Stegostoma tigrinum: one gene and its partner. The protein of the gene in region 1 interacts with the protein of each later gene in a pairwise test. Links are inferred from orthologs where the notes say so. Each region holds a gene or a part of one and is shown in the gene's direction. Other genes may lie near its edges.

The links.
Region 2: the proteins of mtfr1l (region 1) and armc1 interact in binary tests that used the Homo sapiens proteins (3 or more experiments, as listed by UniProt). The two-hybrid records come from large-scale screens. The link is inferred for Stegostoma tigrinum from reciprocal best matches to the Homo sapiens genes MTFR1L and ARMC1.

Annotation. Positions count from the first base shown.
Region 1 is NC_081377.1:37,102,559-37,110,086, forward strand, and holds the start of mtfr1l (mitochondrial fission regulator 1-like), read left to right. Parts: upstream 1-4,321; 5' UTR 4,322-4,489; intron 4,490-5,469; coding exon 5,470-5,574; intron 5,575-7,528. Other genes in the region: si:ch211-15d5.11 (nuclear receptor coactivator 7), read right to left, coding at 4,155-4,279. UniProt on the Homo sapiens protein: Mitochondrial protein required for adaptation of miochondrial dynamics to metabolic changes. Regulates mitochondrial morphology at steady state and mediates AMPK-dependent stress-induced mitochondrial fragmentation via the control of OPA1 levels.
Region 2 is NC_081358.1:32,273,425-32,281,386, forward strand, and holds the start of armc1 (armadillo repeat-containing protein 1), read left to right. Parts: upstream 1-4,751; 5' UTR 4,752-5,020; intron 5,021-5,045; exon of another isoform or gene 5,046-5,301; intron 5,302-5,354; exon of another isoform or gene 5,355-5,902; intron 5,903-6,670; 5' UTR 6,671-6,720; coding exon 6,721-6,882; intron 6,883-7,962. Other genes in the region: mtfr1 (mitochondrial fission regulator 1), read right to left, coding at 553-618.

The DNA of each region.
Region 1 (7,528 bases):
GCTCCAGTGATGCTCAATGGAAGCTAGAGAAACAACAACTCATCTTACAGGTACCTTCCGACCTTCAACAATTTCAGAATGCAAACAACCTCCATGTTTGCTACCTTCACCATGCACACCCGCCACCACACTCTAGACCCTGATTTGTATGGATTTGTCCCAGCACAGCTAAATAATTTTTAACCCCTTTCACACCCTACTCAGTATTTATCACTCCCTCAGCTTATCATCAGCAGCAATCTCATTATGTGCCTTCTCCCTTTCTCTTACCACTGTCTTTATATATTCTATTCACTCCTCCCTCTACTCCGAACCCTTACCGGCAGAGATACTATCCTTTCCCACTATTTTCAGTTCTGACAAGGGCCATTGAACTCAATAAGTTCACTCTATTTTTCCCTCTACAATTGCTGCCAGACCTGCGGAGTTTCCCAAGCACTTTTTCTTGTTTCACATTTCCAACATGTGCAGTTCTTCGTTTTTTAATTAAATATGGTATTTTACTATATTGCCGCATAACAAGAGATACACCTACTGACTGCACTACTGGGGCACTATCCTCAAAGGATAGTTAACAGATTATGTGCATTTTAGGCACGTTATTTAGAGATCTAAGATTGAAGTTTACTCCCATTGGGGATTAGAAAATTGAAAGGTGGTCTCATTGGAACAGAAAATATCCTGAGAGGATATTTAACAAGGTGGATGATCAGTCAATGTTCCCCTTTGATGAAAGTGTCTAGATGTAGGGAACATGATTTAAAAATTAGGGGTCTCCTATTTAACACAGAGATTAGGAGAATTTTTATTTCTGTCAGAGTGTTTATGGTCATGGAATTCTCTTTCCCAGAACAGCATTGGAGTCTCAGTCATTTGAATATAATTAAGGCTAAGTTATACAGATATTTGATTGATAAGGGAGTCAAGACGTTTGGGGATAAACACAAAAGTGGAGTTGGGGTAATAATCAGATTGTTTGGAATGACAGAACAGGTTTGAGGGGCCTTATGTTCCTACCTCATCTGACAACTGACAAGAAAGAATGGGCAATTTTAATAATGTATGGAACAGTAATTTGTTAATATTTATAAAGACTTTTCTCCTACGTATTTGAAGTGAAAGTGATGAATGGAAAATATTCTAATAATTTGTCTACATGAGCATGCACAATGACAAGTCAAATTCTGCATGTATTTGGTCATGTTTAAGCTTTTTCTTCAACTTGTATATATTTAATATGTAAATCACCTATTGTTCATCGGCAATGTCCTTTTCTGAGTTTGTGATTAAGAACCTTAACAAAAAAACTCCATTTCTTTCAGTATTACACACATTTTAAGACAGTATCTTCTTTTTATTGTTAATGGATATTTGCATAATTTTTTTGTACCTGAGCACTGCACTTAGAAAATTCCATGCCTTTGCAAATGCAGCTGCAATTCTTGTAGAATACTTTTCAATTAATGCAAGTCTTTCCCCATGGGAATTTTGACTCTTAGGCCAAGGGTTTTTATCACATCACATGCCTGTTGTGGTTCTATTGGTTAGTAATGAAGTTTCAATATCTGTAATATATAATAGAATATAAATTATAATAACTCACTCTTAACAGCAGCATGGGTGTACTTACAACAAAGTAACTGCAGCGATTCAACAAGGCAGCTCACCACCACCCTCGAGGGCAACTAGGGATGGGTAATATGTACTGGCCCAGCCAATGAAAGACATCCCATGAATGAATAATTAAAACAATCCTTCTCCAGCATTTAGCTTTCCAAGAAATATTGTGAAGCAAAATACCAAATTGTGTTGATCTGACTGATTTCACTGGAAACAACAGTAGTAGGATATTTTTTCACAAATACACAAACAGCTGAATAGATAGGCAGTCACTGAAACATTTGGAGACGGGGCAGAGTAGACCTCTAAAGTGGGCATGCTGATGATTCAATACAAAAACATGGGCTTGGATTGAACACCAGAAAGTGGTGAAAATCCAGAGGTCTTAGAAGTGTGAAAGAGATAAAGCGATATTCAAAGGTCAATCCTCTATGCAATCTACACAGGTATTCTTCAGAATGTGATACTTAGACGAATAAGAAACTTTCCCAAGAATAATAAGCGCAAATCAACTAGTCCTAGGCTAAAATACTTATTGATTTGCAGAGTGGCTCCATCCAGAACAGGTGATTCAAAGCAAAGTGGATACTATGTTTATGGACAGAGATTTATCAAACAGAGATTCCAAGCTATCTGCACAAACTTGCCAGAGGAAAATAAAGCAATCTACTATTACACTGAATCACAAGAATGAAGTTCTTAGGATAATAGTTACAAGAGATCGAATGCAGGAATTAAATATTTAGAGGTATATAACTTTTGAAAAGGACAGGCAGGATGGAAAAGGTGACCTACCCTAGCAAGTCCCCAAAAAATCCTCTGTGTTTCAATAAGGTCGTCCCTCATTCTTCTTTAATTCCAACGCGTACAGGCCTAACCTACTCAACCTCTCCTCATAAGATAGCCCCTCCACACCTGGTATCAGCCTAGCGAACCTTCTCTGGAGTGCCTCCAAAGCCAGTATGTCTTCCATAAATAAGGACCTGAAATTGTTCAATAGTTTTAGCAAACTTTTATACTCCATTCCCTTTGAAATAAAGGCCAACATTCAATTCGCCTTCTGAACTTGGATGCTTTTTTGTGATATATGGAATAGGACTCCGAAGTTCCTGTTCCCTCATTTTCCGTAGTGACTCCCAAATTCCTCTGTTCCCTCGCTTTCTGTCGTGACTTTCAAATTTGTGTTCCCTCACTTTCTGTAGTCACTCCCAAATTCCTCTGTCCCTCACTTTCTGTAATCTTTTTCCATTTAAATAACAGCTCCTCTTTTCTTCCTGCCAAAGTTCATAACATCACATTAGATCGCACCTGCCAAATTTCTACTCAGTTGCTTAACCTCTCTATATCTCTTTGAAGACTCTTCATGTCATCCTTGACTTCCCACCTTTTTTGGATCATCCATAAACTTGGCCATGGTACATTCACTTTCCTTATCCAAGTCAACTATATATATTGTAAATATTTGTGGCCCCAGCATCCATCCCTGGAGCTCATCAATGGTTATGAGTTTCCACTCTCAAAATGCCCCTCTTATGACATCTCTTAGTTTTTTCTTACTTAGCTAATTTTCTATCCATGCAAATACATTACCTCCAATAACGTGGGGCATAAGGGTTTCTTCAAAAGCTTCTAAAATGTGGTCACTCTGCTATAATGTAGGAAATGTCGTAACATTTATTATTATAGAGTCCAACAAACAGTAATATGATAATAACCACAAAACCTATTTTCATGATGTTGGTAAAGGGATAACCATCATTGGACACCAAAACTCCACATGCTAGCTCTGATGACTGAACATACACCATTTGACAACCAAATATTATTTGCAAGGCATTGCACTCCTTCAGTCATATCTCTACCCTGGGTCTCGAACTCAATCTTCCGATTCAGACGCAAGCGCGCTTCCCACTCATCCATGATGACATATAGAATTAGACCGCAACTCAAAATATCAAAGATTGGACTGCAACTATGCATTATTCTAATTCGGAGTTCTTCCTTCACCCCAGCTCCCCGTCTTCTTCAGTTTTTTTCAACGACAGTCTTAAAAAAAACATCTAAAACATCGAAACATAAATCGCACATCAAAAACCAATGATTTCCAAAGCAGAAGAGCTTTTTTTTACACTTACATGCGTCTTATCGTATATCAGTTATTAAGATTTTCAACTAATATTGCTCAGCAGGAGATGATTTGGTAAAGCTGACCGCTCAGCAGATCCCGACAATTTGATGACATGTTCCCACTATTTTCTCAACAGCACAGTTTTGCAATAAGACGGAAGTGAAAATAATGTTAGTAGCCAATCTGAGCAATAGCAAATCACTTGCCACAACAAATTTTTCGCCCCAAATCTTTGGTAGATATGATTTCAGCCATCTTCATACATTGACTTAAAAAAGCCTCACACACAACATTCACTAATTAATAATATCAGATCTGACTGGACCGAGGGAACGTAAACACTAGGACTAAACTCCTATTCCCTCTCAAACATAATACCACGCCGAAAACATTAATCAGCATTTACTGCATGTAATAAGTACTGGGGCAACGCTTTTGCTGCAGATTGGTCAAGCTCTGCAGAGGCTGGTTCTCCCAGTCACTCGGCTGGGGGTCGGCTCTAGCACCGAGAACTAGGCCGCGGTGCCACATACCCCCTTTCCTCAAAGGTAATTGGTTGCTGGCTGACCTCGCAGCCAATAGGCGATGAGTTTATTAAAAGGGCCATGGTAACGAGCTCTTGACCCGCATCACCGGGTCTTGATTCTGTGAAGGAGGTGGCGTAAGTTTTATCATTCTCGATGTGTCGGTGCAGTTAATGCTGGAAGGGCCAGCTGCCCCCTCCCTTTCTCTGAATATACGGTACGTTCTTAACTTTATGCGGAGCCTCTCTCTGCCGTGAGTAGTGGGCCTAAAATTTTTGCCCAAGCGTCATAAGCAATTGTTACTATCGTAGCTTTTATTTCTAGCGATGTTAAGTATTAAGTTAAGCTTATCCTTTTCGACTTAATTGTTAATATGGAAAAAATATTTTAAAACTTAATAAACGCACTTAAATCAGGCAATTATCGTTTAATAAATGCAGTAATATTCAGAATGTGTGCATTTTTTTTGTGACAGATGTGTGTATTAGAGCCACAGGAAAAGTTTGACCTTGTTATCGCTGGTTTGCAAATAACTCGAGCTGCTAATTGACCTTGGCTTTTTTTTAAATTCCCGATTTTTACTCCAGTTGGGCTGTTGTACCAGATTAGGCATCTCCATTGCTCTAGGCCTACAGCATTCCAAGTGGGGCAAACCAACAAATAATGACTATATAAATAGGATGGAATTCTGTTGATAGTAAGGGGCTTGTTACCAGAGCTCTGAGCCACTTCTGCCTAAATTACATTTAGTATTGACAATACCAGGCTACTCAATATTAAAACAAAACAAACCAATGAACGAATGAACTGTGGATGCTGCAAATCAAACCAAAACATCTGCTGGGGAAAGCTTAGCAGGCTGGCAGCATCTGTGGAGAGAAAGTAGAATTAATGTTTCTTCAGAACAGAATTAACCCTATGCTAGATATGGCTCTGCATTTGCAAACTGGCCCCCTGCCCCCCAATAATCATTGAATACCCTCTTGAATGCCTTGATTTAACCTACAACAACCATATTGTTTGCTATTTGATACATCAGATTAATTTATGACTCCATATTGAGTTTGAAGTGCTGTCTGCCTCTTTCCAAATGTGGCTGTCACTAATTTGGAATTAAAATTTCACTTTTGTGTAAAACTATATATTGTCTCTAGATATGGAAAATTCCACTGTTTTGTGGTAACTTTTACCTTGCAGATGATTCCAATATGGCAAAATAAACCTTATGGATCCTCTCGCAGTGTCGTCCGAATGATTGGATCAAATCTCCCTTTGAAACCATGTCCTCGAGTTTGTTTTCAGGTAATAGTACTGTTTAGATAGTAAATGTTTTGCTTTATGATATTGAAAAACATTAGTACTGAAGTATGGAGATAAGTTGTAGAGCTGTATGAACACAGCAGGCCAGGCAGCGTCAGAGGAGCAGGAAAGTTGATGTTTCAGGTTTTCTTCAGGGTCCAGCCCCAAAACATCAGCTCCTCTGCTGCTTGGCCTGCTGTGTTCATTGAGCTCTACACCTTGTTATCTCAGATTCTCCAGCATCGGCAACTCATGCTATCTCATCTCAGAACAGGAGCGTACTTTTGAATTGTTCAGTTAATTGGGCTTAAATACATAAACTGCCATATCAACTTCTACTTCATTTGGGAAGACACTTTAACTATGCCTTGAAATTACTGAAATCTTGCTCTTTGATTACTCCACTTCAACCATGTGACATGCTTGAATAACGCTTCTTATCACATTAGTTCACAGAAGCCTGTTTGGTACCCTTATGGAACTGCTTAGAAAACGTAAATGTCACCTACCTAGACCTTGGTATATTGCATGCCATGGGTTCTATTTTGTTATGGGGAGATGGTGACTGTTCTAGTGTTAATAGACTAGTTTCTAATATAGAGGGTCAAGTTAATTTGCAGTTGAGACATTGATTCAAATCTTACAATGTTCGCTTCTAGAATTTAAATTCCTGTCATAAATCTGGCATAAAAAGCAAGTCTCAAGTCGTGATAGTTTCACAATTGTTAAAACCATCTGGCTCGCTAATTTCCTTTTAGGAGCAAAATCTGGTCTGATCTAAGATGACAAAGTGTGGAGCTGGATAAACACAGCAGGCCAAGCAGCATCTCAGAAGCACAACGAAGATGCAGCTTGGCCTGCTGTGTTCATCCAGCTCCACACTTTGTTGTCTCGGATTCTCCAGCATCTGCAGTTCTCATTATCTCTGGTCTGATCTACCCCTGACTCCAGACCCACAGCAACGTTTTTGACTCTTAGTGTCCGAAATGGCCTAGCAAGCTACTCCTTTCAAGGGAAAGTAGGGTGGAGAACAAATGTTAACTTTTCTTGCGATGCTCAATTCCCATTAAAGAATTAAGGGGTGGCATGGGAGGGGTAATATTTAAAAGCTTTCCCTTTCATGTAGCTTAAATGGTCTTTGGAAGTTAGGGTGGCACAGTGGCTCAGTGGTTAGCACTGCAGCCTCACAGTGCCAGGGACCCGGGTTCGATTCCAGCCTTGGGTAACTGTCTGTGTGGAGTTTGCACGTTCTCCCCGTGTCTGCGTGTGTTTCCTCCAGATGCTCCTGTTTCCTCCCGCGGTCCGAAGATGTGCAGGCTAGGTGGATTGGCCATGCTAAATTGCCTGTAGTGTTCAGGAGTGTGTGGGTTATAGGGAGATGGGTCTGGGTGGGATACTTCAAGGGGCGGTGTGGACTTACTGGGCTGAAGAGCCTGTTTCCACACTGGAGGGAATCTAATCTAATCGAAGTTGAGTGCCTGTGACGACTAACGAAGGGGCTACAGCTCTGAAATGCGTTGCTTCCTAATAATGCGTATATTGACAAAATGTATTTCCTTCATCAACTGACTTATTTTTGTGGGGGAAATGTTGCCATCTAGTGAATCTCAGTCAAATTAGTTTTGAATAAATCTTGTGCTGGAAGTTATGAATAAACAACCTTGTTGTATAGCTGGTATTTACCCCAAACTACTTTAAATTTGAAGCTGCTGTGTATACAAAAGCATTTTTAAATGGTCAAAGATTAAATTTTGGGAGATGTAGAGTATTGTATATTTATCTTTGAAGGGTCCCATGCCATGTCTTTTTCCAGCCATCCGCAATGTAAAGCTTCTTGAATTGGGATGCTGATTGCAGCCGCATCTCCTAATAATTATATTGCCATTAACAGGAATCACCTATATGGTGTCTTCCTATTTGTTCCTCTGTAATCTTGTCTGATGAAGGAAAATTGCAA
Region 2 (7,962 bases), on another chromosome or scaffold:
TTCAGTTCCCTTTAAGGAAGGAAACCTATCATATTTATGCAGCCTAGCCAACATGCGACTCAAGACCACAGCATGTTGACTCTTAATTGCCCTCTGAAATGACCCAAGCAAGCTCAAGGGCAACAGGGATGGATAACAAAATCTGATCTTGGTAGTAAAACCACATCCACAAAAGAATAAATTTGAGAGAGAGGACTGTAATCCTGGATGAAAAAATGGTGGAAATTACAGCAGGTCAGGCAACATTCATAGAGTAATAGTAAGCTAATGTTTCAAAGGTCTCTACAGTAACTACATGTCTCTAGTGAAAAGTTATCTAGACTTGAAACATTAGCTTGCACACTCTCTCCATGGATGCTGTTTGACCTGCTATACTTTCCAGCAATTTTTGTTTTCAGTACAGATTCCAGCACGCAGTAATTTGGTCCTGAAATCTGGATCATAAGTTCACATTCAGACCTTTGTACATAAATTTTGATTACTTATGCAACCTCAGAGGGAAATCATATCTTGAATTAAAAATGTAAATCAGGAAAGAAATATTTAACTTACTGAATCCATGTCTATTCCAGCATATTCCAACATCATTCTAATCATCTGAACGAGGAATAATAACATTAAGGCCAAATCACAGCTTTGCAATCCACATAACTTGGGAGTCTAGAAGCTTTATGCAGTCCCATTGTTCAGCTGAAGGGAAGATACAATATAATCAGAAAGCTACATACAGAGATAATTTAAAACAAAAGTCATGAGAAACATTTAAAAATGTTTTTTTTCAGCCAAGAAAAAGCTCAACTCAGAACAAATGCAAACTTTTATACTATATAATACCACTGGACATTAGAGTAGCACACAAACCCATATCAATCTTACGACAACTGCTCACCCAAACCAAAGACACACTACCCACTATGGACATGACCAACAGCATATAAAAGATTCCCTGCAGAGGTTGTGACAAACACTACACTGGACAAGCAGGAAGGAAATTAACAACAAGGATACATGAACACCAACTGGCTACAAAAGACATGACCAATACTTGTCTCTATCCATGTGGATAAGGAGAACCACCAATTCGATTGGGACAACCCCAAGATCCTGGAACAAGCAGAGCAGAGGCAGACACGCGAGTTCCTAGAAGCCTGGTAGTCCATGAACAAAGCCAAAGATATAGAACCTGACCCCATATACACTGCATTGCGAAGGAAAACCGGAAGGGAGGTAATCCAGCTCAACAGACTCCAGAGTTTAAAAACCTGGCAAGAAAACACAATGGGGCTTCATTGGAGGTTGCACTGATGATGTTACCCAGCAGGGTAATGAAACATCTGCAGAACAACAAACCAGCTTGGCAAGCCAACTAACCACAACCTGAGCTACAAATCTACTCCAAAACCTTAGAGATACTATATAAGCCAAGAGCAGTTGAGTAAAAAAGTCTGTCTGAAGGTACTGCATTGCTTCTGTAACATCCTTGTAAAATGGTGCTGCTTTGGTCCTTAACTCCCTGTTAACACCACAGAAAGCTAAACTGCTTCAATGGTGCTAAACCTTTACTTTTCAAAAAGTAATTTGGTTGTTCATTTGAGGAGTTATGGTATTGGCATTATATTTAGTACATTGAAACAAAATGAGACTAAAGCAAAGCTCAACCCCTAACAGAGCTGATCGAGTGCATACATAAAATTGGCACCTATCCAACAATGTGGTATGTTGCCTAGATATGTCCTATGCACAAGACAAATCCATTCCAGTCAATTACTCTACTCTCAGTCTACTCTCGAACATCGGAGAAGTGATGGTGTTATCAACACAGTGCCATGAGGCAGCACTTTGCTTAGCAATAACCTGCAAACAGATGCTCATTTTGGGTTCTCCCAGGGTGACTCAGCTCCTGATCTCTTCAGAGGTCTAGTTCAGACATAGATGATATAGCTTAAATCCAGAGCAGAGGCAACAACAACTGACTTTAACACCAAGGCCACATTAAATCAACTGTGACATCAGGCAGCTTAGCAAGACTGGTGTCAATGAAAATTAGAGAAAACTGGTTAGTGCTGTATCCGACACAAAGGGAGATGATTGCGGTTGTTAGAAGTGAAGCACCTTACTCTCAGACATCTCCACAGGAACTTGTCAGGAGAGAGTCCGAAGCTCAAACATCTTCAGCTGCTTTATCAGCAACCTTTCCTCCATCATAAAGACAGAAGTTGGGATGTTTGCTGATGATTGCAATGTTCTTGACTCTCCAGACACTGCAGCAGCCCATGTCTAAATGCAGCAAGACCTGGACATTATCCAGGACTGGGCTGACAAATAACATGTGAACCACACAAATGCCATGCCAAGACCATCGCTAGCATGAGTGAATCTAACTATTTTGCCTTGACAGTCAATGTTATCATAATTGAAAGTCCCAACAGGGGGCATTCCATTGACCAGATGCTAAAATAGGCTAGCCAAATAGATATTATGTCTGCAAGATAAGGTCACAAGCTAGGAATCCAGCAATGAGAAACTAACCTCCCAACTCCTCAAAGCTTGTCCAACATCATGAAGGCTCAAATAAGGGGTTTGATGAAATAGTGTCCACCTGCCTGGACAAGTACATCTCCAATAACACTCAAGCAGCTTGAAATGATCCAGAACAAAGCAGCATACTTGATTAGCATCACATTCACAAACATATACTTCCTCCATTACCAACATTCAGTAGCACTTCACCAACACTCCTCAGACAGCACCTTCCAAACCCATGACCATCACCAACTCGAAGGAGAAGGGCAGTAGATACATGAAAACACCACCACCTGCAAGGTCCCCTCCAAGCCACTCATTAAGGCTTGAAAAAACAAACACCACTCTTCCAACATCATCAGGTTAATATCCTGGAACCATGTCCCTAACAACATTGTTGTTAACAACCTAGGCCTAACAGGTTCCAGCAGTTCAAGAATGCACTCACCACCAAAGGACAACTACAGACGGGCAATAAACACTGGAGTAGGCAGCAACACCCACAGTCCATGAGTGAATTAAAAAAGGTCAGTATGAAACCATCCTAGCATTCAATGTTCACAAAAGGTATCCTATAATCTATAATACTTTACATCTTTAAACATCTGTATTTGCATATTAAGATAGCTTTGCTTTTTAAAGTTTAAGCTCATGGTTTTCAATGTCTGCTGCTTATGTTATATACTTACCCTTTTTAACACTGCTGAATGTTCAGAATGAGTTCTAGACTGGTCTGGACACAGTTATAAAGTTCATACTTAGGGCTAGCCAGCATGAAGATCTTTGTAAGTGATGAGGGTCACCTCAAAATTCAGAGAACTAAAGAACAATGAATACAATGAACCCGCAGTCATGCAATCCAGTAATAAAAAGGTATATTACAGCTAGTTGTATGAACAACCAGATGCAAATCAGCAAGACATTCAATTTCTTCTAACCATTTTCAAAGTGTTATGTTCCACATTGGAAGCTTAATGAAATTTTGCTTCAGTATCTGGTACAAATTATTAATCTCCTCAAAGTATTCAGCAACAGAAAAATTAAACAAAAATTTAACATGAATCCAAATCCCTTAGTGAACATAAAGGTGCTGTTAGTATAGAATTCATAAATTTTGGAAGTCGATTTGCCTGATGATGCACCTCACACCCATTACTTGGTTTCTTTTGTCAGTGATATAACAAAGGCACCAATATGCTCAATCCCAGCCGAATAGCATTCCTAGACACTTGAAGCAAGAATAATTACTAAATGCGACTATCATGTTGGTTTCATTGCAGTACAAGCGAATAGCGACATGCGAATCCGTCTTGACAAGCGGCGTGTGCAGTAAGATTTATTTGACACAATCGGCACACAATGCTATTTCAGAAAAAATATTTTTAGAACCTTGTAGATACGGGGCTCCCCTGAATTCTTCGATAATGTGGTTGATCGTTCAGATAGCAAAAAAAATCCAATGTACAGAGATAACAGATCCGTCTTTTCTCGCCAAAGAGAACAGTGTGCACAAGGTTTCACATGATTGAATGAATCATTGAATCAGAGTCACGCAGCCCGGCCTGGAGGCTCTGTCAATGCCAGTAAATCCCAACAGTAAACAGGCTTAGCTCTCACTGGTTACTGGCAGACCCCGATGTCAATGAGATCCATTCAGACCCACTCCTCCCGCTACAGCCCCGCCTGGTCCGGTCTTCCCCTCCTCCCTCCCAGGGCCGCTCCGCTCTCTCGCTTCAGCCCCGCCCCCGGGTCCCAGCACGCACTGTGCCCCCCGCCCTGTCCGCTGTGCCCCACCTTCCGGCCTCTGCCCTGCCGGCTCAGTGCCCACCCCACCCTCCGGCCTCTGCCCTGCCAGCTCAGTACCCACCCCACCCTCCGGCCTCTGCCCTGCCAGCTCAGTGCCCACCCCACCCTCCGGCCTCTGCCCTGCCGGCTCTGTGTCTGCCCTCGGGCCCGTGTCCTGAAAGAGCGCGCGGACACCCACTTCCGGTGCGGCTCTAACCGCCGCCGTCGCGCGGAAAATATTTACCACAATCCCAGCCCCGTGTAACGGCGTGCGTTTAACAATCGGCACGGCTTCACTTCACCATTACTCAGCTTCTAAAAATTAAAATAAACGGCGGCACGTTCAAATCCACACCGGTAGGAGGTTGCCGACTGGGGGAGGGGGCGGCAATAAGACGTCGTGCGATAGGCTGTGCCGTGCGGGTGGATGTGAGCCAATGAGGTGGCGGGGTTTGAGTGGGTGCAGGGTTAGGAACGGGGACGGGAGGGAGAGGGTCGAGCGGAGAGCTCCGGGTTGTGTCGGTGGAAAGTGGCTGTCGTTCATGTCTCACTGAGGCCTTGTGTCGGTTTATTCCGTATGGAGCTTGCGGGCGAGTGATCGATAGGCGCGGGGTTATTGTTGATGAGTCATACAAGGTGGTAGGCGGGCGGGAATAACAAGGTAGGCGAAGGCCTATGCTCGGCACCGGGGCCCGGGCGGCCTCTGAGGCCGGTGAGCTCCCACATTTAAACTCTCCCTCGCCTGCCTCCACCCACCCCATTACCATCCCTCGTGCTCATCAGGGTTTTCATTTCATTTACACTCCATCTTGTTTTAACCGGTATTTTTAAAAAATGTTTCTGGAATTGAGGCCGGCACTTAGAATCTCACCTCTCTCTGTTTAATGTAATTTTTCGGCAGCAATATAAAACTGGACTCGAATCGTTAACTGTTTTATCGCACTACAGATGGTGCCTGTCCAGCTGAGTTTCTCCCAGCAATTTCTGTTTTAGGTAACGATAGTAATGCTTGAGCCAACGGGTTTTGATTTTTTAAAATCTTTTTGCGCTTTACGTGTGTGTTATAGTCTTTGATTCACAGCTGCTGGTTTACAATGCATAAATCCGGTTTCGTATTGCATAGAATACGCAAGGCTTTGATAATCTTACCATTTTTCCATAAACACCATGACCTTGGATATGGCACTAGAATGAGAACATTACATCACAGAAGAAGGCCTGTCAGCAGTTAGTCTCACTCCACTTTGACACAATCCAGTTTGATAAAACGTGTAAGGTTGAGGGGTGACCCTATTGATGTTTATAAAATCATGAGGAGCATTTATAAAGTGAATGACAAGGGTCTTTTCCCGAGGATGGGGGATTTCAAAACTAGGGGACATTTTTAAGAGATAGTAAGTACTGCTGATGCTGGAGGAACACAGCAGGCCAGACAGCATCAGAGGAGTAGGAAAGTTGACGTTTTGGGTTGGGACCCTTCTTCGGAAATTTTAAAGTTGAGAGGAGAAAGTTTCAAAAAGACCTGAGAGGCAACGTTTTTTACGCCGTGCGCTTTGTGTGTGGATTGAACTGTCAGTAAAAGTCGTGGATACAGGTACAGTTACAGCATTTAAAAGACATTTGGATAAGTTTGTGGATAGGAAAGGTTTGGCAGGATATGTGCCAAACACAGGCAGGTAGGACTAGTTTAGTGGACTGGTTGAACTGAAGGGTCTGTTTCACACTGATTCTATACTGAAGTAACTGCTCTTGATCTCTGGTGCTTCAGCTCTGGGTTTTTTTAAATAAGTGATCAGTTAGACTTATAGCGATTCGGTCAGTTCATTTAGCTGGATGGTTAGTTTGCAATGCAGAGTGAAACCAACAGCATGGATTCAATTCATGCACTGGCTGAGGTTAGCATGAAGGATTCACTTTCTCAACCTCTTTCCCCTTGCCTGAGGCATGGTGACCCTCAGGTTAACTTACCTCCAGTCCTAGCTGTGTGATAATAACATAGCCTTATTGTCTAGTAAGACTGTGGTGACTTTAGTTGGACTCTAGGTACTGCAATGGTTATTTTCCAGTCTTGGTCTGGTGTTGTCGTCTGAATCCTGTAGCTTCACTTGGGTTTAATTCTTTTGGAAATGTATGAAATGGCACTTGCATTTTGTTATCTCATTGTTCGTGAATGAATTTACTCGTGTTCACTAACATACAAAACGCTGCTACATGATCAATCAGAGTGTTGTCTACATTGATAGCTTAAATTAAGTTTAACTGAATATTGAATATGTGTAATTTGGAAATTATTGCTCAAGTTTAAGTACATGTTATTTATGTATTTCATTTGTCATTGGCCTAATGTGTATTCATTTTGCAGGGAATTCTTGAAAGTTGCTTAAAACATATGGCATAGTGGATGGTGGCACAATGAGTGGGGAGCCTGATGCCCTAGCAGTAGTAAACCAGCTGCAAGATTTAGCATCTGACCCCTTAAACAGGCGAGCAATTGTTCAGGATCAGGGATGTCTGCCTGGGTTAATCCTGTTCCTAGACCACTCAAATCCTCAAGTTGTTTACTCTGCACTATTGGTAAGTGTTGACTTGTCTGCTCAATGTAGCCCTGTTTTTAGAATTGACTATTGATACAAGTTCAATGTTTACTCAAAGATCGTGTCTATATCACTGTATGTATACATGTTTATAGTTGATTTACAACTTGGGTAACTTAAGAGCTTTATTGGCACAACTGATGGTGGTGGGGGGGGGGTGGTGAAGTCAAATGGGATTGTTGTGTTTTGTCACTTTGAGACTCATTTCAGAATAATGCAAAAAGTATTGAGGTAGGTAAGTCCCGGATCTTGATGGGATCTACCCTTGTTATTGAGGGAAGCCATATAACAAATTGCTGGAGCAATGACAAATCTTTGGGACTTCACCTGTAACAAAACAGGATACAGAGGAATGGAGAATAGCCAATGTTGTCCCATTGCTTAAGAAGGGTAGCAGGGATAATCCTGGAAATTATAGGCCTGTGAGTCTCACATCAGTGGCAGGGAAATTATTAGAAAAGATTCCTAGGGACAAGATCTATTCACATTTAGAAGCAAATGGACTCATTAGCGATAAACAGCATTGTTTTGTGTGGGGGAGGTTGTGCCTCACTAACTCGATCAAGTTTTTTGAGGAGTTGACGATGATTTGAGGAAAAGCGATTGTTGTCTACATGGACTTCAGTAAAGCCTTTGACAGGGTCCCTCAAGCGGACTGTACAAAAGGTATCACATCATATCAGGGTGAGCTGGCAAGATGGAAAGAGAACTGGCTAAATCAAAGGAGACAGGGTTGCGGTGGAAGGATGCTTTTCGGAATGGAGGTTATGACTGGTGATGTTCCACAAGAATCCGTACTGAGACCTCTGCTGTTTGTGATCTGCGTAAATGATTTGGAGGAAAACCTAGCCGATCTAATTAGTAAGTTTGTGGACAGTGCAAAGATTGGTGGAGTTGTGTAAAATGAGGATACAGTAGGATAGTAGATCAATTGGAGGTATGGGTAGAAAAACAGCGGATGGGGTTTAATCTGGACAAATGTGAGGTGATGCATTTTGGAAGGTCAAGTACAGTTGGAAAATTTAAATGGTGAATGGCAAAACCCTTAGGAATATTGATA